4 linked regions of the Elephas maximus indicus genome follow. The protein of the gene in region 2 interacts with the protein of the main gene of each other region in a biochemical or structural test. Links are inferred from orthologs where the notes say so. Each region holds a gene or a part of one and is shown on either strand. Other genes may lie near its edges.

Evidence for each region.
Region 1: of the proteins of MAPK8 (region 2) and MAP3K1, one has a biochemical effect on the other in vitro, tested with the Homo sapiens proteins (3 studies listed by BioGRID, with this or other methods). The link is inferred for Elephas maximus indicus from reciprocal best matches to the Homo sapiens genes MAPK8 and MAP3K1.
Region 3: of the proteins of MAPK8 (region 2) and STAT3, one has a biochemical effect on the other in vitro, tested with the Homo sapiens proteins (2 studies listed by BioGRID). The link is inferred for Elephas maximus indicus from reciprocal best matches to the Homo sapiens genes MAPK8 and STAT3.
Region 4: of the proteins of MAPK8 (region 2) and ELK1, one has a biochemical effect on the other in vitro, tested with the Homo sapiens proteins (3 studies listed by BioGRID). The link is inferred for Elephas maximus indicus from reciprocal best matches to the Homo sapiens genes MAPK8 and ELK1.

Annotation. Positions count from the first base shown.
Region 1 is NC_064820.1:60,717,657-60,726,108, forward strand, and holds the start of MAP3K1 (mitogen-activated protein kinase kinase kinase 1), read left to right. Parts: upstream 1-5,333; 5' UTR 5,334-5,369; coding exon 5,370-5,851; intron 5,852-5,857; exon of another isoform or gene 5,858-6,155; intron 6,156-6,378; exon of another isoform or gene 6,379-6,485; intron 6,486-8,452. UniProt on the Homo sapiens protein: Component of a protein kinase signal transduction cascade. Activates the ERK and JNK kinase pathways by phosphorylation of MAP2K1 and MAP2K4. May phosphorylate the MAPK8/JNK1 kinase.
Region 2 is NC_064834.1:1,514,995-1,522,967, reverse strand, and holds the start of MAPK8 (mitogen-activated protein kinase 8), read right to left. Parts: upstream 3,046-7,973; 5' UTR 2,858-3,045; intron 1-2,857. UniProt on the Homo sapiens protein: Serine/threonine-protein kinase involved in various processes such as cell proliferation, differentiation, migration, transformation and programmed cell death.
Region 3 is NC_064837.1:49,311,870-49,319,744, reverse strand, and holds the start of STAT3 (signal transducer and activator of transcription 3), read left to right. Parts: upstream 1-4,864; 5' UTR 4,865-5,094; intron 5,095-7,875. UniProt on the Homo sapiens protein: Signal transducer and transcription activator that mediates cellular responses to interleukins, KITLG/SCF, LEP and other growth factors. Once activated, recruits coactivators, such as NCOA1 or MED1, to the promoter region of the target gene.
Region 4 is NC_064846.1:123,965,008-123,972,294, reverse strand, and holds the start of ELK1 (ETS domain-containing protein Elk-1), read right to left. Parts: upstream 3,052-7,287; 5' UTR 2,941-3,051; intron 1-2,940. Other genes in the region: protein UXT, read right to left, coding at 4,365-4,418, 4,619-4,682. UniProt on the Homo sapiens protein: Transcription factor that binds to purine-rich DNA sequences. Forms a ternary complex with SRF and the ETS and SRF motifs of the serum response element (SRE) on the promoter region of immediate early genes such as FOS and IER2.

The sequences.
Region 1 (8,452 bases), on a different chromosome or scaffold from region 2:
AAATAAAACCTAGAAAATTTTGTGAAAAACTTATGAATTACACATCTTTATTTTATTCTTCCATCCCTGGGGGATAAAATAATATTTGTTTAAAGAATTTGGATTTTATACACTATATAATGTGGAATCACTAAAGAGTTTGAAGAGAGAAGATACGATCAGAATCATAGCTTAAACACTAACTCTGGCAATGGTGGCTAGAATTTATTTGAAAGGTTAGCTACCAGAAGTAGAAGAAGTAATTTACTCATAAGTTACTAATGTATATATATATATTTTTTTCTATTTCCTGAACATGTACACATGGATTTTTTTATTATACATTCATCTGGTCTAATCAGGCATTTTCACAGTATATAAAACCCATAGGTCTTAGGCACTATGGCTGTAGGGCTATGCTATCCAATACGGTATGTGTGACTTCTAGCACTTGAAGTGTGGCTAGAACAAATTGAGATGTGGTGTAAGTATGAAATGTACACCATATTTCAAATGCCTAATACAAAAAAAAAGAGTAAAATAATGTTATTAATATTTTATATTGATTACAAAGTAAATGATAATATTTTGGATATATTATGTAAAATAAAATACATTATTAAAATTAATTTCACCTGCTTTTTTTTTTTTTTTTGACTGTGACTACTAGAAAATTTAAATTACATATGTGGCTCACATTTTACTTCTACCAGACAGCACTGCTCTGGTAGATGACAATTTTGTACACCTTTTCAGGTATTTTGGCCTCAGAACAACATAAATCAATTGCAAAGTGAAAATGCAAACGTTGCAGAAGGTAGCAATTTGAATATTAAGGAGATCCTTGAGAAAATGTATGCTGTCTTTGAATATTTATGCAAAAATTATAGTCATAATTAAGCCACAAAAGTTCACAAAGCCAATGGAAGTGGTACTGAACCGCTTGGTTCACAAACAAAGCCTTGTCTACATAGGATTCAGTGAATCATAAAGGAAGATAAAACTGGCAAGGACGCTAATCCAAAGAGAGTAATTCGAATATTATAGGAGGTCCTTGAGAAAATGTCTGAGGTCTTTGAATATTTTTGCACAGATTATAGTCATGATTAAGCCACAAAGGTCAAACCAACAAAGAATATCTTGTCATATATCAAAAAACAGCAATCAACGTGGCTCATTCAAAGAATTGAAAAAATTAGAGCAGAGTTGTAAAGATAAGCAGATTTTTGCTAATATTAGACAGAGCAATCTTAATAAATTGTGGTTTTATTTGTTAATATAAAATCCCAATTCAACTGTTTTACTTATTTACTACAAAATTTAGTTTCTAATTTCAAGTACATGCAAATAAATGCAAAATGTTTAGATGGTTGTTTAATAAAAGGGAATCATAAAAACATATATTTATTTAAAATACTTTACTTAAGCTTAAAACATATAAAGGCTTTCCTTTGGTTTGGTTTGGGGTTTTTGTTTTTTCCAAGTATTCGACTCTAGGGCCTTGGTCTTTTGAGTGTGGGTCCACTGTTCTATTTATCTTGCTCACATATTGCATTGCCTACAGTTTCCAGTTTCAGTTTCTTTAAAGTGAGAACTGAAAAATACCTGCAAAGTAATTTTTTTTTTTAGATTTGAATGCTTTTTTCCCACTTTTTTACAATCATCACAACTGCAACTAACTTGAAGATATTTTTTTCAATGACTGGCCTTCATTCATTCTTTCAAAATATTTAACTTAATTTTTATTGGTACAGTTTTCTTTTTGCACTTACATACTCATGTTGCATTAATTTAATAATCCGTTTAATAATATTTAATTAAATTTCCTAAGCAAAGTTATGATAGGTATAATCAGGTTCGAGAATAAACACAACAGACTCTCCCAGGGACCATAATTCACCTGCCGGGAGCAGAAGTGGGCAGGTGCACACCAGCCACTGACCATGAACATTCATTGTGCAGTGGCATTCCTCAGCATGTCATACACAGAGAACGACAAGCAACTGTTACTGATGAGTCAGGTAAGTAGAGGCTAGTTAAAAACTTTCTACAATTATGTCACCTGCAGTGCCCTTGTAGTGGAACCAGTAATCCACAGATAGCAGTTTCCTGACTAAAACATCTGGAAACACCTGGCAAATGTGGTATCTGGGAAGAACATGGCAAAACCAAGATCTAACCCCAGCTCTCCTGCTCCCTAATAAATATTTATAAAGCCTGGAGGAACACCAGCTTTTGTCCTATTCTCAAGGTTACATTCTTACTTTTTATAGCCATCTAAGATTTTTTTTTATAACTCACGCAAGTGTGAATACGTGTATACACACTGATGGATCTTAAATTCTAAATCAGAATCAGTCCAATAAATACCCACTAATAAAAACAATTATAGATGGGAATATTTAATTATTTTTTTGTAAATATGAAAAACAACAAACAATATCCTTAGAGGAGAAAACTCCTTGCATGTGAATATCAGGTGCTTAATAAATATATGATGAATGAAATACAAGCTGATATATTTCTGCCATTGCATACTAAGTCTCTTCATTCTAATGTTAGTGATATTTGTGTACAACGAGGAAATACACCAATATTAAACTGGTTTCTCCAAATGAACATGATGTAGCAACTGAAGTGTGACTTAGGTGATTCCCAGAAGCACTATGTGAAAGCAGTGATCTGTAAAGCACTCACATAAAGGCTACAGAAACTGTCGTGGCATAAATGAAATCACGGCAAGGTTTGTATCCTCCAGTGAAGATGGAAATAAGGAGCTTGAAAACAGTAACTGGAGTTTTCAGTTCCAGAAGCGACCTTTGAAGAGACCTGAGTCTCCGTTAAGTCATTAAAGAAATCAAATTAAAGCAATTCAGAGTATACATTAGCTTGATATTTGACATATGAATCTCTGCAGTAATAAAAAAAACATGACACAGCAGCACCAAAACTAGCATTTACAATCTTATCCGTGCTTAAGACTCAGAAACTACGGTAATAATTCCTTGCAGCTGGATTCTCCGCGAAGAAGATTTTATATTAACTTTCCGCCGAAGGAGAACACTCTTTTCCAATCGAGCATGTCCTTTGGTTAGTTTTCTCTCTTAAAGAAAAAAAAAAAAGAGCGAGAGCGAGAGCGAGAAATCAGCAGGCCGGTGTGTAGATGCATAATGGCAATCCGAATATTTACATAAAAGATTAAGGGGAAAATTACTCAAAATGCCAAAAACTATCCAGCTCTCAGGTTTCTAGTGGCAGTGTATGGTGGATAGAGGAGGTCAGAGAATGTAGCTGACTGATAGTGCTGTTTTTGTTCCCATCTGTCTTTGGTCCCAAGTTTGAATCCCTTTGGATGAATTAGTGGGCAAAGGCAAAGTCTGCTGGAATCCTGTTTTATTTTAGCTACTCTGATCAAGCTTCAAAATTGTTCCTATTTTGAAAGGTTCCTGGCTCCACCGAACTTTTCTCACAGGTACCTGACCGTGTGTGTGTGCGTGCGTGTGTGTGTGTGTGTGTGTGTGTAAATGTAAAGGTTTTTAGATCTAAATAGGGAAGTGGAAAGTTTATTCTTTTCAATTTAGTGGGTGTGGCAATCCGGGAAGATCAGGGAAGTAACTACTGTTTGGTTTGGATGATACACTTGGCTATCGTTAAAAGAGCATATAATTATAGGCTAAACGTAGACTTAAAATTTTAACAGATTTATCTAAACTTTCAAAATTTGTACCGTTGGATGTAATTATCTAAAACTGTCTGATGGCAGGTGTTGTACCAGTATTAAAAACAGTGAACTAATATGAAATCAAGACCCTTAAAAACTCCCTCCACTATCACCTTGCTCCTCAGGTAACATACCTAGAAAGGGGGTTTTAATTGTATCAAGAAATGAAAGGAATTATTACATGGATAGTTCAGTCCAGGCCATGCATAGTTCAGGCTTTCGTCTAAATATTATGAAGACAGACAAGATAGCTCTCTCCTTTCTCTGCGTGGGAAGCCCCCTCCCCCCGCATTAAAATAAATTACCATTATTTAGTGTTTCTCAAAATATACCTAGAGACGCTGCTCCTGTCTTCTGGGAGATTTCCCATCACAGACAAACCAACTTAAGAGAAACGCAACACAACTCTACCCGGCTGAACAAAGGTCGAAAATCATTAACATGCAAATGAACCTTTTTCTATCCCAAAGCACCTTACGGCAGACTCTCCCCAGGGATGTTACTGTTGCTAGACCCATCCAGCAGCTCCCCAGGGATCCAGGGGTTCAAAACACCGCGTTTGGCAACCGGGTACTGCGGGGGATGGGGATGGGGGTGGGGGTGGAGGCACCTGGGACCATCGCCCGACCCCGCCAGGAAGAGGGACGTGCAGCGAGGGGCGTCGGGTTTGGGGAGGGCCAGGGCCAGGCTGAGGATGACATTATCGAGCACTTCCTGCACAGCGTAGGTTCCTTCCCCAAAGGTGCTCTATCTGGTTCTGTGCCCTTTCCAAAGTCAGAGCCGAGGAAAAAACAAAGCTCCTCAGGACATCCATGTGTCTCCATAGCCAAGTGGTACTGGGGAGACAAGGGCTGTCTGAAACCAACGACTTCAGGATGTAAACACGGTATTCCAAGAAACTTTGAAGTTTTGATTATTTGTAGCACGAGGGGCGGGGGACAAAAGAAGAGGAAAAATTTCTTCAAAAAAAAACTTTGTTTTTGGTCCGCAGCAGCACGTCCACTGAACGTTGGGTTTCTTTCGCTTTGCAGCAGGCAACACCCCCGGCGCCACCTGCGCGTCGCGCGCGGAGCGGGCAGGATGGGGCTTGGCCCGCGCCCGGGTCTCCCGACGCCACTGCAAAGGGCAGTGTGAATGACAAGACTGCAAATCTCCTCCCCAACATCCCCTTCCACGCATCACACGCACACATTCCAACTAATTATTTATTTCGGAAGCTGCAACTTCAGTAGGGCGAGCTCCCGGTGGGCCGAGCCGAGATTGCAGCAGACACGAAGCGGCGCGATGCTGCCACTCCGGCACCTCCTGTGGCCGGTGAGGCCCGCGACTACCTGGCGGCGCGGCGGGCGCAGCACGCAGAGTCCAGGAAGTTCCACCGCCGCCACGTCCGAGTCCACGGCGCCGGCCCGCCCGCCCCGCCGAGCGCGCAGCCCACTCCCCCCAACCTGCTGCGCCGCCGCCCCCGCCGACCCGCCCTCCGCCTCCGGCCAAACCCCGCGCCCCCGCCCGCCCGTCTGTCCCGGGCAGAGCCCGGCGGGCCACGCTCACGCAGTTGGCGCAGGCAGTTCTACGCTGGCGGCGCAGCGCCCGCCGGTCCGCCCGCCCCCTGCGCTCTCCCCGCCCCCTCCCTCCCTCTCGGGGGCCGAGCGAATGTAGCCCGCGAGAGAAAATGGCGGCGGCGGCGGGGAATCGCGCCTCGTCGTCGGGATTCCCGGGCGCCGGGGCGGTGAGCCCCGAGGCGGGCGGCGGCAGAGGGCCCCTGAAGGCGAGCAGCGTGCCCGCGGCAGCCGCGGGGCTCCTGCGGGAGGCGGGCAGCGGGGGCCGCGAGCGGGCGGAGTGGCGGCGGCGGCAGCTGCGCAAAGTGCGGAGTGTGGAGCTGGACCGGCTGCCCGAGCCGCCGATCTTCCTCGCCGCTTCTCCGCCGTCCTCCTCAACTTCCCCGTCGCCGGAGCCCGCGGACTCGGCAGCGGGCGGGAGCGGTTTCCAGCCTCTGGCGGTGCCGCCGCCCCACGGAGCCGTGAGCCGCTGCGGCGCCCAGCCTGCAGAGCTAGTGGCCGCTTCGGACAGCGGCGCCCCGAACCTCGCAGGGGCCGAGCCCGGGGAGAAGCGAGCGTCCGCCGCCGAGCCGTCTCCTGCAGCGGCCCCCACCGGGTGAGTAGCACCGCCGGGGGCGCGGAGAGAACTTTGGTTGTAGGCAGAGGGCAATGAATGAACCCCGGGTACCGTGCGCAGCGTCCTGGGGCCGCGTTCTGGGATACTGCGCGCCGCTTGCCGGGGTCCGAACCCCCGCACCCCCCGGGCACCCTCTCAGACCTCCTCCCGGCGTCGGGCGGCGCCCCGGACCCGGCCTAGGGGTTGGACGGGGTCCCGGGGCGGGGAAGTGCCGGGGAGTTTGTTATTGTTTGTAGACATGTGACAGACGTGCCAACCCGTCTGCGGGACCCGTTGCGAAAAGGTGTGGAGGCCCTGGCTAGCTCTGGGGCTCTGGGAATCCGTGCTCTCCGAGGAGCCGGGGCTTGAGACCCCGGCGCTGCCCTCAGGGCAATTTGGGGCCGGACCCAGGGGGCAGGGGGCAACCAGGTGGCGGCGCGCCAGGAACGGAGTCTCGGGGACGGGGGGCGAGGCCGGAGCCGGCCGGCGGGCGGTGGTCGGCAAAGGGGCGGGGTGGGTGGGGAGCCCCAACCGGAGGCCGGGGCGAGGGCGAGAGGACAGAAGAGAAAGCGACGAGGTCTCTGCGGCCGTGACAGGCCGAGCCCCTCCGCCCGCCTGGAGCTCGAGTCCTGAGGCAGGTATCGGGGGCCGGGCCCGGATGCCGCGGCGCGCCCCAAGAGCCGGCAGTAGGGGATTCCCGGGGGACGGCTCGGTAACGCCTGTCAAAGCGGTGCGGACAGATAGACTGCAAACTCGTGGGACTTGCAGTCTTTTCGAAATTGGGGTTTTCTAATTGCGTCCCCCCCAAAGGGGCTCCGAGAGTACTTGGGAATGCGAACTGCACGGAGAAGACTAGAGCGACTTCGGTTTGGAGTTTGAATTTGGTCTTTGAAGTTTGCATTTGGCTGAGTGGTGTAAGAGACCCGACCGGATGTGTCAGCCGTTCAATTTCAAAGCGGTGGTGACTGCTCCCCGCAGTTCCTCCGGCGTGGTTCGGGAGCGCGGCGCGGGTGCGGTGCTTCCTGCTCTGTGCAGCTGCGTCGGCCGACTGCCGAATTCCAGGGTTTTTTTGGGGGTTTTGTACAGAGCTGTCGGCTCAGCTAAGACAGACCTGTGGGGCTTATGCAGTACGATACATACGTGCAGTGTAACTCAGAGGAGCGATTCGTGGCCTGACCCTTTTTTCGCAGCTGGGGTTTTTTATGTTAAAGGAAATTCAAATAAATATGACAGCTATAATCTTTTTTTTTTTTTTTAATCTGGCTAACGTATACAAAGCACAAAGTCTTGATGGTGTATTTTGAGTTGCTGGAAATGGTTTTGTGATGGTCACCCTTTGCCCTGTAGAATTCCCTGACCCTTGTTGTGAGTATTTTAAAGAGTGTGTAACTTAGGTTTGTGTTTCTTGTGAGACTAATTTGACAGTGGAAATCTTAGTTTTGGTTCATTATCTGAAGTGATTTGGTACTTTTTTGTGAGATTATTTGTTTAAAACTACAGTTCATTTATTACTTGGATGTCGCTCCCTCCCCTGAAAATAAATAAAAACTAAGAAAAAAAAATAGACTTTACCATGGCAGTATTGAAACAAAAGGAGATTGTGACTGTGATAGTTTTTTGTGTGCACTTGTACATGTAACTTAGTTTTACAAGAGTTATATTCCTTTACAGTTTTCTATTTCTATGCACATTGGACAAAAACTTAACTGGAAAAATTCTTTGAAGGCAAATGTGAGAAATTAGTTTTACCTATACTCATGATACATAACTCTTTGGATGCAATAAATGATTTAGTAAATATCAGCATTCTGGTCTTCTCATTGAGCTATGAATATAGTATAAGGGCAGCCACTGTTAAGATAACACATAGAAGTTGTTTGGTATGGTCTTCTGACACAAAATAAGAGAACTAAGGTGGAAAAAAAAAAGCTATGAATATAGTATAAGGGCAGCCACTGTTAAGATAACACATAGAAGTTGTTTGGTATGGTCTTTTGACACAAAATAAGAGAACTAAAGTGGAGGCAGATAGAATTCAGGGACTGAATAAATCCATGCTTAGTTTTTGTGTTTTATAACCTAGGTTTTTTTCTCCTCTTTGTTTAAGGGGCGGATTATAAATTGCACAGTATATGATATAATAGACTAGTTTGCATAACCTTTTTTTTTTTTTTAATGACTTTCATTAGCCAGAAAGCTTTTGGCTCATCCCACATATAAAAGTAATTATTTCCTTTATAATTAAGTGTTGATTCCCTGTCTTTTTAAAATACGATGATTTTTCTAACTTCTTTGGCAATTGGGGTTGAAATTCATTTCAGTCTCTTGGTATAAACACTGAGTATAAGTAGTTCAATAAAACTTGAATTGAGCTTTGCATTATACTTGTTGACAATAGTTTCATATGTTCAGGAGGAAAATCAGACAGTGAGATTTTGAAATATTTTTATGTTCGAGTAGGAGTAGGGGTCTAAAGACCTCTTCTGTCTAAAGACCTATTTTTTTTTTTATTAATTCTATGATTTCAATTTGAGAATTCCCCTTAGTTTTTTTTTTAACTTTTTTATGTTGAATGTAGAAATTAAAATTGTAGAAAATACA
Region 2 (7,973 bases):
TTTAAGTCATAAATTCTGTTGAATCAGAACTCATCTGTGAAATCAAACTTCAAGGTAACCTGCGTTCAAGCAAAAACACAAAGCTTCTAAACGTTCAGGTAAGGAGCTCATGACTAAGACAATAAGCATCACAGCTTACTGAAACAGGCCAACGATTCATATCTAAAGCTGTGTGGTCATAGACTTCCTTGCACTATATGAGTCAGAAAGGGCACTACCCATACCACTCCTGACCAGAGGTCCCTAGAGAGCTGGCCTCTCAATGGTCAGCATGCTTTTATACTTCTACATGTGCAACAAAGCACCTCAACCATCCAGATGACTCAAGTATGTCAAAACTCAACTCGCCGGCAAAGCAGACTAACAAGCATCAGGCTTGGATTCACTCTTAATTACCACCACAATACTATGTGACTAGTCATTTAACAACAAATTACTTCAAGTTGTTTCACTGTGCACTGGGTATCCCCACGAGGTCATTTCCATAATATTAAGTATAAAGCAAATACTTAAGATTCTAACCTCTTCAATTTTGGTATAATTTATTCTTACCCCAATTTTCTTTCCAAGTGGCATTTCCCCCAGGATGTAAAGGAATAGAAAGAATATAGCTTCCTAATCTACCAGGACACGTAGAGGGCGTCCTTTTCAAACCCATCAATGGAATACACCTACTAACAGAGTCAGTGCTATCTCTTCCTTTAAGACAGCGTTTAGCCGGCAGTGGACACTGACTGCCAATGGGTATGGGGTCACTTCTTAGGGTGATAAAAACGCTCTGGAATTAAACCATGGTGATCAATACTCAACTTTGTAAATATACTAAAAAACCACTAAATTGTACACTCTAAAAGGGTCAATTCTACGGTATGGGTGAATTATATCTCAAAAAAGCTACCATTAAAAAAACAGAATTTAGAAAAACAAAACAAAAAACTTTCATTCTAAATGTAGCCTGACTGTGAGCTGCTGCCAAAGGATTTTTATCAGTAACCCTTACTGGAATCTGACAAATCTCAACTAGGTAAAGCAGTAAACGTTTGTATCTCAAAGTTTTCATTCCTCATCTTAATAAAGTATCATTTTCTAATTTTATCATTTCTACCCTACATTGGATAACAGAAGTTCGCCTCAAATCCTTTCATATCCAAAACTATGCTAGAATGTATTTAGTTAGTTGGAGAGAGACTGGGAGCCAAATGTTCTGTCAAAAGTGTAAGGACAAGGAATTTAAACATTTCTAATAAACATTTACAAAAATTTATTAGAAATAAATTAGGCACTCCTAATAAAACATTTGTGCAGCTTGTTTCTTCTGTCCTAGCTTTTCCACTTAGAGTCACCGAAAATCTTTCAAATAATATTCACAAAAGGATGTGCTGCACATACACATATACACACAAAACACAATCTACCTTACTTGATCAATCACACTAAAAAACCATACTTTAGACAAGGTTTATTTTAGGATATGGCCTAGAAGTGACAGGAAAAAATTGATGCTGGAGTGATTCAAAAGCCTCTATTGCCATGACAGATAATACGAATGAACCGATCAATTAGATATCTGGAAGTGACAGTTTGCATGAAGCCTCTGGAACTTTATGGAGAACATTAGAAGTTTTTTGGGTTTTTTTCAAAGACTTAATTTTAAATACTACCAATTATAAAGAGCGTTTCATCTGTCTGACTATTCGGCACTTGCTATATTGCAGACTAGGCTCTGAAGACACGGATGTAAGACGTTCCTGGCTTGGGGACAACACTAAGCAGGTTCACTTCCGAAATCTGACCTCCTAGGCTTGAAGGTAACAGGGGAATCTGAGGTAACCATTACAAAGTGCCCTAGGAGATAAAACCTGAAATAAATAAAATCTGTTGTAGACTTACAGCAAATCTGACTCCAGTTCCTAATACCTATTGACATTAGAAGTTCCAGCCGTACTACAAAAACAAAAATGTGTAAAAACGCCCAGAGCACGACTCTCTCTTCTTTAACACGCACCACTCACGGGCCTCCCCTAACCTTCAAACAGATCTGCGTACAGCTCACGGGAGGAGCTGAGTGAATGAATGAACGACAGACAGACGGACGCTGGGACCGCCAAGGAGGCGCCTCCGGGACGCTCGTGTGGAGACAACGCGCTGGCCGTCCAGTCTCCCCGGAGCCCCGGCGCGGCGCCCAGAGGCGGACACGGAGCGACCCCGGGCACCGTCGGAGCGCGCGGGCGACGCGGCAGGGACCCGCGGGGCAGGTCTGACCGGGAGTTTTTCGCGACTCAGACGAAAGGCGCCCGTCAGATACGTTCAGACGGACTCGGCCCTGCCCCCACGGGTCGGGGACACAGCCGCAGACAAAGGGACGAGGGTGGGGAGAAAAGCCCGGGGCCCCCACGGGGCGCCCCTCCGGGGAGACGCGCCGACCGCGGACCGCAAGCCCACCTCGGGAGACCACCGCCCTCCGCCGGGCGCCCAGAGCTGGAGGCCCTTCCCGCGCGGCCGCCCGCGCCCGCCCAGAGCGTCCGCACAAAGAGCGCCGCGCGCCCCCGCAGGCCCCGTGGGGAGGCAGCCGGGGCCGCTCGGGGTCAGGCGGGGCGCCGCTCGGGGCGCCGCTCGGGGTCCGTCAGGGCCGCTCGGGGCGCCGCTCGGGCCCGCCTGCACCCCGCCCCGGCCCGGCCGCCGCCTCCCGACCGCTATTGTTCCCGCGCCGCCCGCCGCCCGCCGCGCCCCCGCCCCCACTGCCGGGAGGGGGTCGGGCTGAGGAGAAGGCGGCGCGGCAGCCGCACAATAACAAACACCGAGGGCCGTCCGCCCGGCCGCCCGCTCGCCCCGGCCCCGAGGCGCCCGCCGCACTCACCCGGCAGAGGCGCGGACGAGGACAACGGAGCCGCCGGCGGGGACAGGCGCCGTCCCGCAGCGGCCGCGGCCGTTCCCCAGCGAAGCTCGCGGCTCCGCCACCGGGCCGCGTAGTCCGGCCGCCACCGCTCCGCTGAGTAACAGGGACGCGAGCCTCCACCGCGCAGGCCCGCGCACGTCATCGCGTAGGGCCCGCCCCCGCGCCTCCCGAGCGGCCCGCGGGGCCGGAGCGGCCCGGGGCCCGGATTCTGGGGGTGGAGCCCGCGGCCCGGGGGCGGGGCTACTCCGGGGAGGGCGCGCTCGCGGCGGCCGCCTGGAAATGGAGCTGCGGGAGAGAACGGCCGGGGGACTGAGGGGCGTGGCTGCGGCCCGGGGGCGGGGCTACTCCGGGGAGGGCGCGCTCGCGGCGGCCGCCTGGAAATGGAGCTGCGGGAGAGAACGGCCGGGGGACTGAGGGGCGTGGCTGCGGCCCGGGGGCGGGGCTACTCCGGGGAGGGCGCACTCGCGGAGACCGCCTGGAAATGGAGCTGCGGGAGAGGACGGCCTGGGGACTGAGGGGCGTGGCTGCGGCCCGGGGGCGGGGCTACTCCGGGGAGGGCGCGCTCGCGGAGACCGCCTGGAAATGGAGCTGCGGGAGAGGACGGCCTGGGGACTGAGGGGCGTGGCTGCGGCCCGGGGGCGGGGCTACTCCCGGGGAAGGCGTGGAGCTGAGGGAGAGGATGGCCTAGGGACTGAGGGGCGTGGCTGCGGCCCGGGGGCGGGGCTATTCCGGGGAAGGCGCGCTCGCGGAGGCCGCCTGGAAATGGAGCTGCGGGAGAGGACGGCCGGGGGACCGAGGGGCGTGGCGGCGGCCGGAGGGGCGGGACCCTGCGCGGGGCACGTGGAGGCGTCGGTTCCCAGCGCTCGGCATCTGCCTGGGGCTGTCAGCTAGTCTGAGAAAAAGCTTCCGGCCGGGCTTGAAGGTCAGGCGCGCTCAGACCAAACCCGCACCTCAAGCAGGCACCCCCACCCAGGCACGGACAATACGTACCATTCTGAGGCACCTACCCGGGTCTAGCAAGTCATATTACCCGATTTGGGGCCCCACAAAGCGTGACACGAAATTAGGCAGCAAACGGTAGTGTTAAATTGGCAAGCCCTTAAATATCCAAAAATTGGTAGAAAGATATTTAAATTACCAGAGTTCCCAGGGAGCGGCTGGTGGATTCGAACTGCCGACCTCTTGGTCAGCAGCTTTAGTTCGCCATAGCTGTTAACCACCGGCCCCCAGAGCGCCACATCCATGTAGCGGAAGGCATTTTAGCAACCTGAAAGCCACGTGTTCAAGGAATTCTTAATGACATGGGGAATGTTCATAATCTGTCCTTAAGAGAAAGAAGCAAGATACAAGTCCACACCATATAACCCTTACCCTCGAGTCGATTCTGACTCATTGCGACCCTATACGACAGAGTGGAACTGATTTATAGGGAGGGTTTCTAAGGAGCTACTGGTGAATTCGAGCTGCCAACTTTTATATTTACCAGCCAAATCCTTACCCACTGCACCACCAGGGCCCCAAGTCTGTATGTCTATATATATGTACAGAATGGTCCCACTTATGTACTACACATACATAGAAACAAACCTGGAAAGAAATATGCCAAATTATTTTAGCAGACTAACCACTGGATTTGGAATGAAAGATGATTTGTTTCTCTTCTATACTTTAGGTATTTTCCATGATTTCGAAGAAGAGCAGTTATGTTCATGTTGTTGTTAGGTGCCGAGTTGGTTCTGACTCAGAACGACCCTGTGTACAACAGAAAGAAACACTGCCTGGTCCTGCGCCATTTTCACAATCGTTGTTATGTTCGAGCCATCTTTGCAGCTACTGTCTCAGTCCATCTCATTGAGGATCTTGATGCCCTTCTCCAGGGACTGATCCCTCCTGATAACACATCCTAAGTACAAGTCTTGCCGTCCTTGCTTCTAAGAAGCATTTTGGCTGTACTTCTTCCAGGACAGGTTTGTTTGTCCTTCTGGTAGTCCATGGTATGTATATTCAATATTTTCACCAACGCCATAATTCAAAGGCATCAATTTTTCTTCAGTCTTCCTTATTCATTGTCCAGCTTTCAAATGCGTATGAGCTGATCAAAAATATCATGGTTTGGATCAGATGTACCTAAGTTCTCAAATGTTCATAATTAGAAGTAAATGAGTTACTTGAATATTGAACGCATAAATATTCATCGAAGAGTATGAGTGACTGCTGATAGTCTATCTTCTCATTACATGTTGGGTTGACCTATTTCAAGTGATTCTGAAATGGTACATAAATGTGAACATTCATTCCTTCATTCATTGTTTCTTCATTTTCTTCCTCCCTCAACAGTTGCCCTCGAGTTGATTCTGACACATTCCAACCCCATGTGTGTCAGAGTAGAACTGTGCTGCATAAGGTTGTTCTGTTTTAATAATATTGTTTTTGGTGAAAGTTTACACAGTAAATTAGGTACCCACTTGACAATTTCTATTCAGTTTGTTCAGAGACATTGGTTACGTTTTTCACAAGGAGTCAACATTCTCTTTCACTGCGCTGTTTGTTCCATTTCTGGTACTCTATTTTCCCAGCCCCCTTGTCCTCTCATCTTTGCTTTAGAGTAATTGTTGACCTTTAGATTTTTTTTTTTAAGAGGACTGTACTCATGGCTTGTTGTTGTTGCTGTTAGGTGCCACCGATTTGGTTCTGACTCATAGCGACCCTATGTACAAAATACGAACCGCTGCCTGGTCCTGCACCATCCTCCCCGATCACTGCTATGTTTAAGCCCATTGTTGCAGCCAGTGTGTCCGCTGCTGCTTCTTATTTTGAGTAGTGCCACGTCAGCGAAAGCTTGACTCCATCCACATCGTTAAGGTTAACTCTACTTTGAGGAGACAGTTCTTCCCCAGTTGTCTTTCGGGTGCCTTCCAACCTGAGTGGCTCATCTTCTGGCACTATATCAGACAATGTTCTGCTGCTATTCATAAGGTTTCCACTGGCCAGTTTTTTCAGAAGTAGGCTGCCAGGTCCTTCCTTCTAGTCTGTCTTAGTCTGGAAGCTCCGCTGAAGCCTGTCCACCATGGGTGACCCTGCTGGTATTTGAAATACTGGTGGCACAGCTTCTAGCATCACAGCAACACGCAAGCCACCACAGCACAACAATCTGACAGCTGAGTGGCTGATATCCTTTATTTTGCGTGCTGCTCTGTTATTTAGCTAAAAGGCGGCCTCGGGATCATTTCAATTCAAGATTTGAAAAGTGTCTCAGGGCAATAGTCTCAGGGATTTCTCTGGTCTCAATTAGTCCAACAGGTATGGACTTCTTAAGAATTAGAGTTCTGTTTCGTGTTTTTCTCCTTATCTATCAGGGTTCATCTATTGTGGCCCATATCAGAATGGTCAGCAGCAGTAGCTGAACACCATCTGGTTCTTGTTTCAGGGTAAAGGAGGCCGTGGGTAGTGAAAACTATTAGCCCTATAGACTAGTTTCTTCTCTGAGACTTTGGTTTCTTTCTTTCTCTTTGTTCGTGATGAGTAGAGACCAATAACTGTGTCTTAGATAGCTTTTTGCAAGCTTTTAAGATGCTACTCACCTCACTAGGATGCTGAACATGAACTTTGTGAACTATGTTATGCCAATTGACTGAGTTGTCCTGTCACACTAAGGTCCTAAGCCTTCAAACCAAGAAAACCAATCTCTTTAAGGTGTTTGTCTATGTCTGAAAGGTGTCTGTAATTGAGTCCTATATGAATATATATGCCTGCACATATATACCTTTACTTTTTTTTATATAGCTACTACTATCTGTACACATATATGTATACACCTGTACCTACTAATACACCTGTATGCCTACACACATACATATGTGACCATACACTCATTTTTTGGTCATTGTTGGTGTTGCCAAATTATATATGTCAATTTTTTTAGTACAAACATCCTTCTCTCCTGAGCACTTCTTAGTGATACCATTTATTTTGATTGCTCCATAGGGTTTTCAGTGGCAGACTTTTCAGAAGTAGATTGCTAGACCTGTCTTCCAAGGAGCCGATAGGTGGACTTGAACCGCCAACCTTTCAATTAGCAGCTGAGCACATTAACTGTTAATACTACCCAGGGAGTCCCTCCCTCACAGCCTTCTTTATCTCCTTCCTTCATTTTTCTCATAAATATTTAGTGCATGCCCACTGCAAAATTGATGTGCAAGTGGCATCTGACCTCCTCTAACTTCACAAGAGGGAAGGAGAATCAAGATCAACAGCCCAAGGCTGATTCCTATGAGATGGAGATCAGACATGGCTCCTGTATCCACTATCCTTACCAATTCTAACACCAACTGTCCCTCCCACGGCACTCTCTACTTCTCTGCTGAGCTTGGTAACTCACTGCAATGGCGACACTGAACTCATGGACGGTACTCATGATTATGGGGTTTATTAGGTAAGTAATAGGTTACAACTCAGGTTCAGGAACAATCAGGATACAGCTCTTCCATCAAGACAGCCTCTTCCCATCTATGCTCACAGGCAGGTCTCTCTCTCACCCTCGGCCTCTACCCTGCTGGGGCAAGTGTTACAAAGTTCTTTTAGCTCTGCCAATAAGTGCCCAGAGGCTCCCTACTCTGCCAGCAAGCCTCCTGCCCAAAGGCACTCAGCTTTCTTGCTCTGTGGGCTAGGGAGCCCACTGTGCCCTCTCCTGCTGGTCTCTCCTGCCACACCGTTTCTTTGCCACTGCATCTCGCCATCTTCAGTTTTACATCTCTCTCTGTCTCTCTCTTAGTCTCCTGGTTCCAGGAGCTTCTCAGAGCAGAGATCCCAGGTCAAAAGGATGAGCTCCGCTCTTGGCTGTTTTTCTTTCTTTCGTAAGGGGATCTTCTCCTTCCCACCCCTGAGATGGCTCATTTCAGGCCCGCTGGGATGACATAACTGACTAATCCCCTTGGAGGGCCACAATTACCCTACTTGCACAATCCCACCCAATCATCTGAGCAGGAGCTACAAGACCATGGCATTAAAGGCCCACAAGAAGTGATACATCACACTGTACCCACTTTGTACCAGGCACTGTGCTAGCACTGACAATACA
Region 3 (7,875 bases), on a different chromosome or scaffold from region 2:
GGGCTTCCTCACAACATGGTGGCTGAGTTCCAAGGGTGAGCCTCCCAAGAGAGAGAGTCAGGTGGAAGCTGTATTACCTTTTCTGATCAAGGCTCTGCAGCATTGCTTACACTGCATTTTATTTGTCAGAACTGAGTCACTAAGCAAGAAGAATTAGACTCTACCTTTAGATGGCAGAAGTGTCAAAGAATTCACGAACGTGTTTGAAAACCACCATAAAATCATTGGGCTGCTTCTCTCTGCCTTTATTCACTTGGTGGGTAGAGGGTGGGGACTCACTTTTTCTCTCCTCGAGACCCTTTTTTGGGCATTCAAGAGGAAGCTTAACCCATTGCCGTCCTCGAGTTGATTCTGACTCATAGCAAAGAGGAAGCTTAGACCTGGAGATATAATCACAGAATAGTTATTCAGGCTTTCAAATTAGACACACTTGGAGTTGAATCCTGGCTCTGCTACTTACCAACTCTATGTTTTTGGGTAAATCACTTAATCTTGGGTAAGCCCATTTTAAGGAGCCCTGGTGGCTAGTGGCTAGGGCTTTGAACCAGTTCGCTCTGGTTTGAACCCCTGATGATAATTTGCATTTCTAACAAGTTCCCTGCTGGGAATTCGCATTTCTAATGAGTTCCCAGGAAGTTATACCTAAGAATCTGATTAAAATGTAGATTCAGTATATCTGGAGTGGAAATGCAAATTATCAGCTTGGAACTTCTTAGAAATGCAAATTCTCAGCAGGGAACTTGTTAGAAATACAAATTCTTAGCAAGGGTTCCAGCTGAACAAGCTGATTTGAAGCCCTGCTGGTGGCACAACAGTTAAGCCAGTTAAGCTGTTAAAGGGCCTGGCTGCTAACCAAAAGTTTGATGGTTTGAACTCATCCAGAGGCTCTGCAGAACAAAAACCTGTGAAGATTACAGCCAGAAAAAACTATGAGGCAGTTTACTCTGTCACCTGGGGTCATTATGAGTAGGAATTGACTCACAGCACCCAACAACAAGCCTCATTTTAGTCATCTGTAAAATCACAGTATCCTCCTTTCACTTAAAGCACAATAAAAATTTAAAAAAACAAAAACAGTATCGTCCTTTTGGGGTTACTGTAAGGATTAAATAAATTAATAGGTGTGTTTACATGAGTTAATACATGCTTAAAGCAATGATTAGCACACAGTAAAAAAATACCCCAAAAAGCAAACCTGCTGCCATCAAGTCAGCTCCAACTCATACAGACCCCATAGGGTTTCCAAGGCTGTAAATCTCCATGGAAGCAGGCTGCCACATCTTTCTTCTGGGGATCCACTGGTGGTTTCCAACCATGGACTTTTTTGGTTAGCAGCCGAGCACTTCACCCACTGCGCCACCAGGGCTCGCAGTACACAGTTACACTCCATAAATATTAGCTATTGCTGATACCATTATTCAACTCGTATTTATTAACATATAATTAACTCAGTCTTGCATGAATTCTATGTTAGATACCACATGCTGGGGTTAAGAAAAGGAGCAGTAATTCCATCAAGCTTCCAGGAACCTAAATTAGGGGGAAATGTTATCTACCATGTGGGTAGAGAGTGCAGACTTTGGAGTCAACCAGGCCTGATTCTCATTCTGAGTTTGTCCCTAGTTTCCAGCTGTGTGGCCTTCGATCAATCTTTAACTTTCTAAGCCTTAGTTTCCTCAGTTGTCAATGAGAATTATAATAGCACCCACCTTGCTAGGTTCTTGAAAGGATCAAATGAGATAATCTATGTAAAATGCTTAGCACATTTCCTGGAACATAGTAAATAGTTAATAAATGCTAATTATTAATTTTATTTATCAGGAAGTAGACTCATAAATGAAGACACTGTCATCCAAGGTGGTGAATGCTATACTTGATGTGGAAGCAACCTGCTGAGCAAGTCCAACAGAAGTGATTCACTTTGCCAGGAAGAATCTAGGAAAGCCTAGACAAGGTGGTGTTGGAATGGGGCTTTGAAGGATAAATAAAAGTTTTTCAGGTAAGGAATGAGGGGAGGGAAGGTGTTCCATGTGGAGGAAAGAATATCCATAAAGGCATGGCATTGCAGAAGGTGCTGGCATGTTTGAAGGAAGATAAGTTCAGTGTGGGAGCTTAGGGTGTGTGGGACAGAGGGGATGAGATGGGAAAAGGGGGTTTAGGCCAGGTTTTGTAGGACTTTGTAAGCCAAAACAAGAGGGCGGAAAGAACACTGAGTTCCTACCAGATGCCCAACACTGACTTAGATGTTCTCTCTCTATATATACATACCTTTTTTTTTTTAATCTAATTTGCGTTTTATCCTGTAGGTAATAGAGAACAGTAGAGATTTTTAAGTAGGCTGTGACATGACTGCTTATTTATTTATTTAATTTTTAGGACAATGTCCCTGGCAGCCAGGGGAAGGACAGGCTGGAGTGAGGAGAGAATAGTCAGGAAGCCACAGGGTTGGCCCAAGCGAAACTGCCATCTTTAACCAGGAGGGATTCGGCAGAGGTGTGGAGAAGGCCAGCGGCTAGGCTGTGGAGAGGTTCCAGGGTCAAATGTATAGGCTCAGGGATAGATTTTATGTGTAAATGAGGTAGAGAGGCAGTGAGGAAATGAAAACCAGTTGGTGAGGGGTCAGGGGAGGAGAATAGGGTTTGAGTGAATGGAGCAAAGCTATGAGATCTGGAGTCCAAAAACCAGACTCTGAACCCACCTGGATTAGCTGTGAGTACCTTTGTAGTCTGGAGAACTTTACCCTATCTTGACCTTAGTTTCTTATCAGTGAAACAGGTGCTAATAATATGGCTTCTCCTATCTATCACATGCCGATTGTTGTGAGAAAAAAAAGGGGTAACAAGTGTAAAAGTGCTTTGTAAGCAGTAAATCACTAAATAAATATTAGACCCACCGTTATTAGGGAGGAAGCCCTGGTGACGCAGTGGTTAAGAGCTACAGCTGCTAACCAAAAGGTCAGCAGTTTGAATCCACCAGGCGCTCCTTGGAAATCATATGGGGCAGTTCTACCCTGTCCTATAGAGTTGCTATGAGTCAGAATCCACTGGACGGCAGTGGGTTTTAGTTTTGGTTATTAGGGAGGCACTCAACTGCATGGTATAGCACAGCTGAGAGACAGTTTAGGTGAGGTGGAAGGTGGACGGTTATCTGTCCTGGGGTGGAGAGAAAACAAACAGGGTGCTCAACACATGCTACACACAAGCACAGTGATTTCCACACTGGGCTGGGTCTACAGGAGGGACATGGGAGACTCTCAATCCCATACCTAGTGACCCTATCAGGTGCCCCACAGCTGCTCTCATCTCTCACTTGGATGTACTGAGGTCCAAGAGGTCCAAATCTAGTGTCTTTGAACGGATTTCGGGTAGCTGAGGAACGATGTTAAGTCTGACAAGTAAATGCTACGTGGTGTGTTTTTCTGGGGCTGGAAACCATAGTCTCCATTAGACTCTCAGAGGGTTTGTGACCCCCTCCTAAAGTCAAGAGTCATTGATTTTCTCACCAGAAATTAATAAGAATAGTTACCCTCGGAGAGAGGGGCTGGTGAAAAGGGGAAGGAGGAGATTTTCATTTTCCACTTTCTGAACGGTTTGAACTTTCTAACCATGAGTATGTATTAAAAAACTTAAAAAAATGTGTATTAGTTTCATTTAAAAAAACTGCCACTAGGGGTAGGGGTTATCTGGATGATGAGAAAATGGGCTCTTTTTAGATTTGTGTTTACAAACATAAATACTAATAGTTGCTATTTTAAAGGAAACCCTGGTGGTGTAGTGGTAAGAACTATAGCTGCTAATCAGAGTCGGCAGTTCAAATCCACCAGGCGCTCCTTGGAAACAGTCTGGGGCAGTTTTACTCTGTCCTATAGGATCGTTATGAGTCAGAATCGAATCGACGGCAACGGGTTTTTTGTTATTTTAAAACCCTGTTAGTATCAGCAAAACAAATGCAAAAATCACTCCATTATGCAAAGTTTATCCTCTATTATGACTCCATTATGCGAAACCTACACTTCCTATAAACTACTGGCTTCAATTCAGTAAAACCTGCGTAAGAAGTAGACGGGTGAAAAAAAAAAAAACAAAAAACAGGCAAATTCAGGTATTTCAACTCAGGCATAAAAATGTCAAATACTGAGTATACGTGTCAACCTTCATATATATTGGCGTATGAAGCTTCAAGGAATGGAAAGGAAGACAGGGTTAAATCCACTACCCTCTCCCCACGCACTCTAGTAATTACTCTATTTCCACGTCATGTTTCCGGGTGTGTATGTCCCGACTCAAGCAGAAATTAAGTTCAAAGCAGGCAGGAGTCACCCATGTTCTTTTTGTTATCCGCCAGAAACCCGACTCAGGAGCTGGGCCCCCTGAGGACCTGGCGATACCTGGGGACTGTCTAACTGGCTGAATCGCACGTGGTAAGAGGCTCCCAACCTCGCCTCCACGTGGTGCCAAAGGCCGGGAACAGGGAGAGCGGGCAGGCGGGAGCCGCATCAGGGGCATTTAAAGTGTCTTGACGTCACACACTGCCAGGAACTCAGCTGAGTTTTCAGCAGGACATTCCAGTCATCTTTCCTCCCTCCCCCCGGGCCTCTGTGCCGCTGGCCTCTGCTCTTCCCCGGCTGTTGTGGAGGGAGGAGCACTACGCCCTCCGGAGCAGCCAGCACAGGGGCGTCCCCAGCCTTTACTTGGCTCCGCCCCTTCCCCCAGTGACTCTTTTGATTGGTCGGTGGGTAGGGCTTCGTAGGTACAGTGCGCGCAGCGGAGCCTCTGGATGGCGGAGACAGCTGGCTATCTCATGAATTATGCATAACAGCGTGTCTAAGCCCGGCAGGCGCTGGGCGGGGATTGGCTGGAGGGGCTGTAATTCAGCCGTTTCCGGAGCTGTGGCGGCGTAGGCCCGGAGGAGGAGCCTGGGGTTCCGACGTCGCCACGGAGGGAGCGAGCCCTAACCGGATCCTTGACTAGCACCCCAACTTGGTGTTCTTTCTCCCCGTCTGCTGGGAGAGGCCCCGCGGCCTGAGGGAACCCCGCGGCCCGCACCCCTGCCCAAGCGCAGCCCCGGCCTGTCGGGCCTCAGCCGGAGAAACAGGTGAAGGGGGTGAAGGGTGGGGCCGTCTCCCCAGACGCCCCCAGGCCTGGGGACCCCGGGGACGCGGGAGCGGGTGCGACCTTTTTGGCATGTTTGGGGAAAAACTGGAAACTTCAGTGGGGCGGGGGGAAATGAGGGGACACCTAGCGTCGCTCTGAAGGGACGACTCCCTGGGATGACAGGAGCGGGCCTCTGAAAGGAGAGGGGGCGCTGAAAGGAAGTTTCATTCCTCGGAGAAAAGGGGAGAAGCGGAGGAAGAGTGAGACTGAGCTCGAGAGGGAGGACTGTGGGATGGAGTGGCAGCGGTGAGGGACAGCCCCCCTACTTCCTGCTCCCTGGGACTCTGGGGACGTTCCGGCCACAGGAGAGACTGTCACACCGGCGGAGATCACTGGGGGCGGGGGTGTGGAAAGAGCCTCGTCCCCGCCCCGCTGGCAGGGTCCGGCGGCTCCTGGCTGAGCCACTTCCTCCTTGCCCGGTTCCCGCTCCTTTAGGTGCCAGCTGTAATCCTCCGGAGGTAGGAATAGGTGTCTTCCCCGAGAGCCTGACCGGCTGGTTGGTTGTGGGTAGGATTATTGCATAAGAATCTAGTTTCCTGTAGGGAAATTGACAAGACTTGTACTCTTTCTAAATTCCTTTCCATCTTATTCTAGCTTAAGCCGTGCTTTCCCCCCCTTTTTAAAACAAAACGAAACAAGATAAAACCCCAATCAGGCCAGCCCTAGAGAGAAGTAAACCTCTTTCCCCCTTGGCATTATTCTTTTATAAACACCTGGTAAACACGGCCAGAAGATAAATAATTGAGCCATTGCATTTACTGGATTGTGGTGTTGCTTAATTGCATAGGACAGAATGAACCAATCGACAGTGGTTTCTGTCTCCCAGCCAAGATCTTGGGTAAATGCAGAGGAGAGGAAAGCAAAGACAGGCTGGCCTTGGCGAAGCTATGTGCGCAAACTTTACCTGTGTTTGGGGGTGTGGTTGCCCTTAAATTAGCAAAATTCAAACCCTCGCCCAAGTTGCCTTTTCCATGTTTAGCACACATCACTCTGTTATATCAAGTGGGTGTATGTGTGTTGACATAATCAGTGGTTAGTCACTTTTTTTTATTAAAAAATATAGTTTGTACCTTCTGGTTTTTATTGCATGTGTATGTAAAGGGTGTACTTATTCTGTACATGGATTGTAACTTTTTGGCTGGCTGTGCTAATAAACGTTGGTTTGAATAAGTCAAAATGGTAAATCATCTCCATTTTTATGTGTGAACTTAGACCGTATTGTGATTTGATTCAGCCAATTTTCTATTTTTCTTTATATTAAATATGTCTGTGTTCCCTGAGTCAACACATTGATTTCTTCATTACATATGTCAGACTGGAGTACTAGTAGAAGTTTTGTTCAGATGTTTGCACAGTAGGATGGGAGAGAGAAGTCTGGAATAAAAAAAAAAAAACCTCCGTAGATCTTGGGGGGCTGATCTTAGTCTCTATATCTGTTAGCACACCCACCACAAAGAACCATTAGCAAATTCATGAAAATATGTGTATGTGTATCTTTTGGGAAGGATAGCCATTTAGAAATACCCACAGTTATGACTAGACCCACAAAGGGCTTGTGATAATAGGTCATTCATATAACATTAACCTATTTCGTAAATAAGGAAATTGGGGGCAAATGAACAAGACGCTTGTCCAAGTCAGCAGAGTGCTATAGTGGCAGAACTCATACTTTCTGTATATGTTGTGTTCTTTTTGACTATCAATGGTTAAGTATTAGGTGTTGATTTAGAGTGAATGTAAGCCCTGCTGACATAGTGGTAAAGTGCCACGGCTGCTAACCAAAGGGTCAGCAGTTCGAATCCACCAGGCGCTCCTTGGAAACTCTGTGGGGCAGTTCTACTCTGTCCTGTAGAGTCGCTATGAGTTGGAATCGACTCGACGGCACTGGGTTTGGTTTGGTTTTTGGTAAGCCCTGCTGGGAAAAGTGTCAGTGCAATTCTAACATATATCTGGATGGTGAAATACCTCCAGCAGGCTGTAAGACTCCAAGGAACACAAAGATTCAATAAACAGGTGAAAAAGAAGTACAGATAGGGCTTGCTTAGGTTACTTTTCTAACTGCTATGTCTAACTTGGAAAGTAACTGTTTTTAGTAGGGAAAATGCACCATCAGAACACAGGTATTTGGCTAAGGGAAAGAGATGTTTTCTTAGGGAAAATTTGTTAAGGGAAGGGCAGTTGTGACTTAGATGTCATTTAAACCAGAGTGCTTTGTGGCTTACACTGGTAGTTTGCGTCTCCAGAAAGATGCTTTCTCCTCCCTGCGTCTAAGTGTCTTGACATTCAGGTATGAGATGGGGCAGATGGAGACCATCATTGCAGAAGCTTGAATCCAGCTCCCTTTTAGCTTATGGTTTTCAGAGAGGTGGCATACCAATCCGTCAACAAACATTACTTTGTGAAAGTTGCTGGGAAGAATAAAATGTGTCTTATTCCCAGAATTTGTAATCTACTGGGGTGACTTGATCAGTACTTCAACCATCCAGTGAGACATGTTGTCGTCAAAGAGGTGGTAAGAGCATTGAGCCTGTGCTTTCCAAAAAGGTGGCTATTGTATATAAAAAAAAGCATATAGTACAGATACAGAACATTTCTGTTATTATAGGAAGTTGTATTGGACAGCGCTGCACCAAGCACTACAGTCTTCAGAGGAAGGAGAGGTTATAGGGGCTGAAATTGCCTAGGAAGTCTTCTTGGCAAAGGAGCGATTTGAACTGGGTCT
Region 4 (7,287 bases), on a different chromosome or scaffold from region 2:
TTTTCTTTAGCACTTGTCTAATATACTATCGAATTTTACTTGTTTATATATATATATATATATAAAAATATTTATTTATTTATTTATATAGTCTGTCTCCCCAACTAAATGTCTGCTCCACAAGGGTAGGAGTTTCTGCCTATTTTGTTCTACCTAGAAGAGTGCCTGGTACTCAGTAGTTTGTTGAATGATCAATTCCAACTAACTAGCTCTTTTAACTAACTCTCTTATCTTCTCTTTATCTCCATCTGTCCCCCACCCTGATTTGTCTCAATTTTATTTTTTTCATCCATTCATGCAACAAATTCTTATGAAGCACCTACTGCATACCAGGTACATTTTTAGGTGCTGGAGACGCTCCTGTTAATAAACACATAAACATTTTAAGCCCTCACAGTACTCCCATTCTAAAGGGGAGAGACAGACAATAAGCACAATAAACTAGTAAATTATACAGTGTGTTAGAGAGTGATAAAGGGCAAAAGGACAAATAAAGCAGAAAAGGGGCTTGAGCCCTGCCGTGTGTGTGGTTCCAGGGTATCTCTTTTAAACAAGATAGTCAGGGAGGGCCTCATTGAGAGATTGACATTTGAACAGAGGCCTGAATGGAGCCATGCAGGTATCTGGGGGTAGTGCGTTCTCAGCAGAGAAAACAGCCAGTGCAGAGGCCTGGTGTGTTTGAGGACCAGTGAGGAGGAGGCCAGTGTAGCTGAAGCAGGGTTTGTGAGAGGGTGTAAGTGTATGAGGTGAGGCCAGAGAGGTAACTTGTTTTATTAACTCACAGGTATTCTTTATATATACTGGAGAGGGTCTAGTTCTGATTCCCCCATGCTACAAATGAGAAACAGGTGCAGAAAGAAAGTGGCTAAATCACTAATCTAAGGTCACATAGCTTCTGGGATTGGGGGTGGGTGGGTGCTGAGGCAAGGTGTAGATGGAGACAGATCCACAGGCAGAGAAGACAGCAAGAACATAAGTTTGGAGATGGGAACTAATTTGGTTTTTATGGAGTGGGCTCTGCGGAGTGGGATGAGGTAAGGGAAGGGAGCCTCAAAAAGTATCCTGTGCCCTGAGAGGCAGCCTAACCTGGTACTTACTGGGCAACCTTTGAGTAAGGTGTTTAACCTCCCTATGCCTCAGTTTCCTCAACTGTGAAATGGGGATAATGATAATATTTATCTCACAGGGCTGTGGTGAGGATTAAATGAGTTCATTAATGTAAAACACTTAAAAAGCATGCCTGGTACCATATGTGCTCAATCAATATCAGTTTCTATTGGTATTATTATCATCACTATCATTAATGTATTCATTTATTGTAGTAAGGCAGAATGTCTTGGTGGTTAAAGAGTGTGTGTGACCGATGACTGCCCTGAAAAGGAATACAACGGTGAATCCCTGATGGAGCAGGAGAGATGTGGGATGCAGATCTCAAATTCTCATAAAAGGACCAGACAGACATAATGGTCTGAATGAGACTGGAGGGACCCTGGAGGTCATGGTCCCTGGACCCGCTGTTAGCCCAAGACTGGAACCATTCCCAAAGCCAACTCTTCAGACAGGGATTGGATTGGACTATAAGACAGAAAATGATACTGGCGAGGAGTGAGCTTCTTGGCTCAAGTAGACACGAGACTATGTGGGCAGCTCCTGTCTGGAGGCGAGATGAGAAGGAAGAAGGGGACAGGAGCTGGTTGAATGGACACGGGGAATACAGGGTGGAGAGGAGGAGTGTGCTCATATTAGGGGGAGAGCAGCTAGGAGAACATAGCAAGGTGTGTATATGTTTTTATATGAGAGACTGACTTGATTTGTAAACTTTCACTTAAAGCACAAAAAAGTGTGTGTAAGGGGCTGTTATCTAGAGTAAAAAAGATCTGGGTTCAACAAACACACAGGATGATAACAATATTAAAGTTGGGGGCAGGGAAGGCCACAGACTGATCCACAAGGAAAGGAGGGGGGAAATAAAAGCACACAGGTTGAACCCTTTGGGAAAGGGGTTACAAAGCATCGAACTCATGGGAGGGTATGTGGGGCAACGATGTATGAATGCAAGCACACAGATAGCAGGAAGGCCACTGGACAAATCCACCACAAAGGAGAGGAGATATGGCCATACTCCTCTAATGGGAGAAAGGAAGCAAAAAAGCTCATTGACTGATGCCCTACAATGGAGGGGGAGAAAAACCATCACACAGACTGACTAAAAGGAGAGAGCGACAAGGCCATGGACTGGGATACTGGAAGAGGGGATGTATAAAGTACTAGTTTAACTTACTATTAAAAAGAAGAGAGAAGCCCTCCTACTTAAGGTCTGCAAAAAAGTGAGAGAAGACAACGGACTGATGACTACTGAGATGTGTATACAAGCATATAAACTAATCCACCATAAAATGAAAAGGGGGGATAAAGCCATGGGCTGATGCTTTGGGGGACTGGAGAAGGCAAGAATACAAACTCACAGACTGACTCACTATTAAAGAGGGGTGGGGGGTACAACACTACGGATTGATTCACAAGGAACAGGAGGGGTGGAATAAACAAGGCCATAGATGGGTCCCCTGACAATTGAGTATAGGTGAAATACAAGCACTCGGATTCACCTACTATATGGTTGGAAAATGCCACAGACTTGTCCCCTATAAGTGGGGGTGGGGGCAAGACCACGAACGGGTCCACTGTAAGTTGCGGTGGGGAGAAAGACAAACACGCAGACCGATCCATTATAAAATGGGGGAGAGAGGTTAGGCCACGGTCAGATCCACTACAAGGGGCAAAGGAAGCGAACAATACTACAGGCAGGTCCACCAGCCGTGGTGGTAGTGGTGAGGACTCGAACACCATCAGGCCACGGGCTAAAGCACATCCCCCGCGCAGGGGCGGGAAGGATACGTGTGTTCACGGGTGGTCCCCCAACCCTCCAGGTCCAGGGCTCACCTGTGCGCAGCACCGTGGCGGCGTTGGCAGCTCCGGGGGGCGGGGGCTCCATGCACGGCCCCACCGCCCCCCAGGCCCGGGCTCCGAGGCGGCGGCGGCGGTGGCGGCGGGGAGGGGCGGCGGCGGCGGCGGCGGCGGCGGCGGCGGCGGCGGCGGCGGCGGCGGCGGCGGCGGCGGCGGCGGCGGCACCACCTAGAAGCCGACCCTGCGTTTCCCCACCGCTCACGTGGGCCGGTAGAGGTGGAGCTCAGAGCCCCGCCGCTAGCTGATTGGCCCAAGCAGCACGGATCCAATGCGCTACTTGGGGTGAGGAGGTAGGTCCTGCCCCGCAGAGCTATACTGTGATTGGTCCAAAGAGAACCGCTAGCCCGCGGACAACCGCCCAGGTCCGGAGGGAGTGTGTTAGGCCTGCGGTGCTCAGCGCTGATTGGCTCAAGAAGGACTGCTAGACCGTGGGCAGTTAACAAAGTTCTGGCGGGCTAGCCCAGCAGTGATTGGCCTAAATGGGATTGATGGAAGACAGACAACTTCCGAGGGTGGAGGGTGGGTGAAGAGGATTGGCGGATGACAGACTCCTAGACAGCTGCCAAAACAGCAACGGGGTGGTGCTGCACTCCACGCTAAGCGGAAGCAGGACTTTAATAGAAGTGGGAGTAGCAGCTGACCGGGAGGGGGTCGGGCCCTGGCTCTGCGTGGGCGGGCAGGGTAACTCTATGATGATTGGTTAGAAGAGACTAATTTAGCACAGAGCGGAAGTAGGAGGGTCGGAGGGCTGCGAGACACGCGAAGGATCGCTGAGTGGCAGAAACTAAAGGCCTATGATGCAGCCAGTTGTAAAGGGGTGGAATCTAGCCCTGCGTTGATTGGCGAAAACCCAGCTCAACCTAAAAGAGGGGCTGGAGTTAGAAGTGGGGGGGACTAGGCCCGGCTCTGGGCCTGTTGGCAGAAGCTGGAAGCATTTAGAAGCAGCAGCGAGGCCGAAGTTGGGCTGAATGGGGCGTGGGTGTAATTAGTGTACCAGAGAAACTGTCGGGGCGTGGGAGGAGGGTAAACCTTAGGGGCAGGAGTGAAAGGCTGATTGCCCAGGGATCAGCCTGGGCAAATTCCCACCCTGAATTGGCCCATTCTTTATGGCAATTGGAAAGGTGAGGTACAGGAAAAGGACTGGGTGAAGTGGGAGGCCAGGTTGCCAAGGCAACAGAAGAGTGGGTAGAGCGTAAAGGCAAGTGGCAAACGCTGGCCGTCAACAGGCTGGAGGCGGGATTTCTGGGCGTTTTAGAAGAGTCTGGAGCTCTGGGCCTCTTAGTAACTGTGTGCTTTAGAAACAGGGCACTTCGGCAATCAGCAGGGGTTAAGGGGGAAAAAAAAGGCCAAGGGACTCAAAGGCATTCAGGCTCTTTAATGTTGGGGGAGGGCAGCTGAAGTCAGTGATGAGGCTTCTCTGGGAGACTGTGCAGGCCTTGTAGCTCTCTAAGCCCCTGAAAAAGAGGACAGAAGAGTTTAAACAGATACTGGGTCTAGGCCCCACCCTAGCTTACTCTGACCTCCCCTCCCTCAGAGTAGGTCTGGCTCCAGATTGGCAGGAAAGATGGTCCTTCCCTTCTCTGGCTCTCTTCCTTGATTTGTCACCCTAAACACATTTAGTGGTGAGTCTGGGCATGGGCTAAGCTGCTCTCACCTCTAGCAACATATGAATATGGGCCTTGATATTCATGGAGTCCTTGGTAAGGCTGTCGCTGAGCCTGTAGAAGAGAAACAAAAAAGGGCAAGGTGGGCCCTATATATGATTATGACAATGACCATTTCTCATCACTTCACGAACTACATCCTGGATGACTTACACAGGTCATGTGGTACCTGACCTATCACCAGATAGGTCCTACCACCTGACCTGTTCCTCTGCAGAGATGCCTGGCCATCATCTGGACCTCATTAATTAACATTTATTGGATGCCTACTGTATCCAGGTAATTATAGGCACTGGGGAGACAGCAGTGAACACAACAAAAATCCCAGCCTTGTGAAGCTCAGATTCTTGTTAAGAGAGACAAATGATGGAATAAAATATACAGTATGTCAGATGGCTGTAAGTACAATGAAAAAATTAATGAGAGAAGATGAGTGCAGAAATAGGGGATGCAGTTTTAGAGTGTTCAAGGACGGCTTCATTGAGAAGCATTTGAGCAAAGACTTAAAGGAAGTGAAGAAGTGAATCGTGTGGACATATGGACGATGAGTATTCCAGACAGAAGGGACAGCAAATGCAAAGGTGCTTTGTTGTGTCTGAGGCACAACAAAGAGGCCAGCGTGGCTGAGGAGAATAAGTGAAGTGGGACCGCAGTAAGAGGTAAGATCTGAGAGGTAAAGGGGGTGGGATTCAGTAGAGCCTACAAGGCCATGGTGAGGTTTTGAGCAGAGGAGGGACATGAACTGACTTGGGTTTAAAGTGGCCCATCTGGTTATTGTGGCACAGTGGTTAAGTGCTACGCCTGCTAACCAGGACAGCAGTTTGAATCCACCAGCCATTCCTTGGAAACCCTATGGGGCAGTTCTAGTCTGTCCTCTAGGGTTGCTATGAGTAGCAATCAGCTCGACGGGAATGGATTATCTAGTTATTGAGTGAAGAATTTAACTGAGGATAAGGAGAGCTAGTGTGGAAGTAGGAAGTCCAGTGCAGAGGCTATTGTAATAGTTCTGGTGAGAGATGATGGAGGCTCAGGCCACACTTGAGGTAATGAGAAATTATTGGATTAGGGATTTTGATGGTAGAGCCAATGGGATTTGCCAAAGGGTTAGATGTCAGGTGTGACAGAGAGGAGTCAAGGATAATGCCAAGGCCTAAGCAACTGGTAAGATGGAGTTGCCATCTACTGAAAAGGTGAAGAAGTGGGTGCACAGGTTTGGTGGAAGGCAGATCAGTAATTTGTTTGGACATACTAAATTTGAGATGCCTATTAAAGACCTTAAACTGATGATTAATGAAAACATTATCCTGAAAAACTGTTCTACTTCCAAAAGAACAAATTCAACAGCCTGACTTCTAACATCACTCGCCGTGGCAGCCAGTTCAAAGGAGCTTCCTAGGCAACTTGTTCTGACAACTCCTAGATACCTCTGTTCTTCCACTTCCTCATTGGTTTTCCAAACCCTCCTGCAAGCATTTCCATCCTTATCACATTATCACAACCTTGGCAATACGGTTAGTTCACATTCCTCTCTGTCCTTTCACAACCCTCCAGTACTTCATCAACTCAACTATTCACCACCTACATGCCAGTAGCAGGGTCAGCAGAGAGCTATTAAAAAAAAAAACAGACAGAGCTGCAGATGGGTATGCCACTTTGGTACCGTTTCTAAAAGGTGTGGTTCAAGAAGCATTAAAAGCAGAATCATCTGGGAGCTTGTGAAAATGCACTCCCACTTCCAGAGGTCCCGAAGTTTGAGAGCCATGCATCCTAAATTCACCAGCCTGTGTGGGGCCCTCACTGCTCCATGTAGTTCATTCCTTTCTCTGGCTAAGTTGCTTGACACACTATTTCAGACCCTTTATTTAAATCACTAAGTGTGTCAGGCATAATTGTTGAAGTAAAGAAAACTACATGTGGATATACAGGAGTAAACCAAACAGAGAAAGCTTCTCTCCTAAGACTTTACAGTCCCCTGGAAGAGACAGAAATTAAGCAACTAAACTAATATCATTATGTGCTATGATGAAAGAGTGCTGGGTCCTTTGAGAGAGAAAAATAACAGGTGGGAAAAAAGGGTAGAAACAGTCCTGGTCAAATCATTTGGGCCCTGGATCAAGCAGTGCCTGAAATCACTCTGGCCCTAGACAGCTGAGTCACATAAACGAGTACATTTTGGCAGTTTGGACCAGATCTCACCCCCCAAGATTCTCATGGATACAAAAATTCAAAGATGGTCTTTCTGAAAAATGAAGAATGAGTAAGAACTGAAGAATGAGTAAGAGGTAAGAAGGGGGAGGGTCTTTTCCACAAAAAGGCCAAAAGTCAGGAAAGAGCTATTTGAGGTGCAGTCAGCTGGTTGGAGTGTTAGAAATTAAGGGAACAGTGGAAGGAAAAAGGTCCAAGAGGGAGGGAGCCACTAGGTAACCCAAGGTCTTGATATCATGATAAGGAATGTAGATTTTATTGTGCTGTCAAGGTAGGAGTCAGTGTTAGGGGTAAATGAAACTAAACACTGTAAGAAGAGAGCAACAACATAGGATGTTAAATTGGAAAAAATAGTATGAACTCATCTATATGCCAATGTCTCCCAAATTTATATTTCTAGCCCAGACCTTTCTCGTGAACTCCAGACTTGGGAGTTTTAACTCATTTTCAAAAA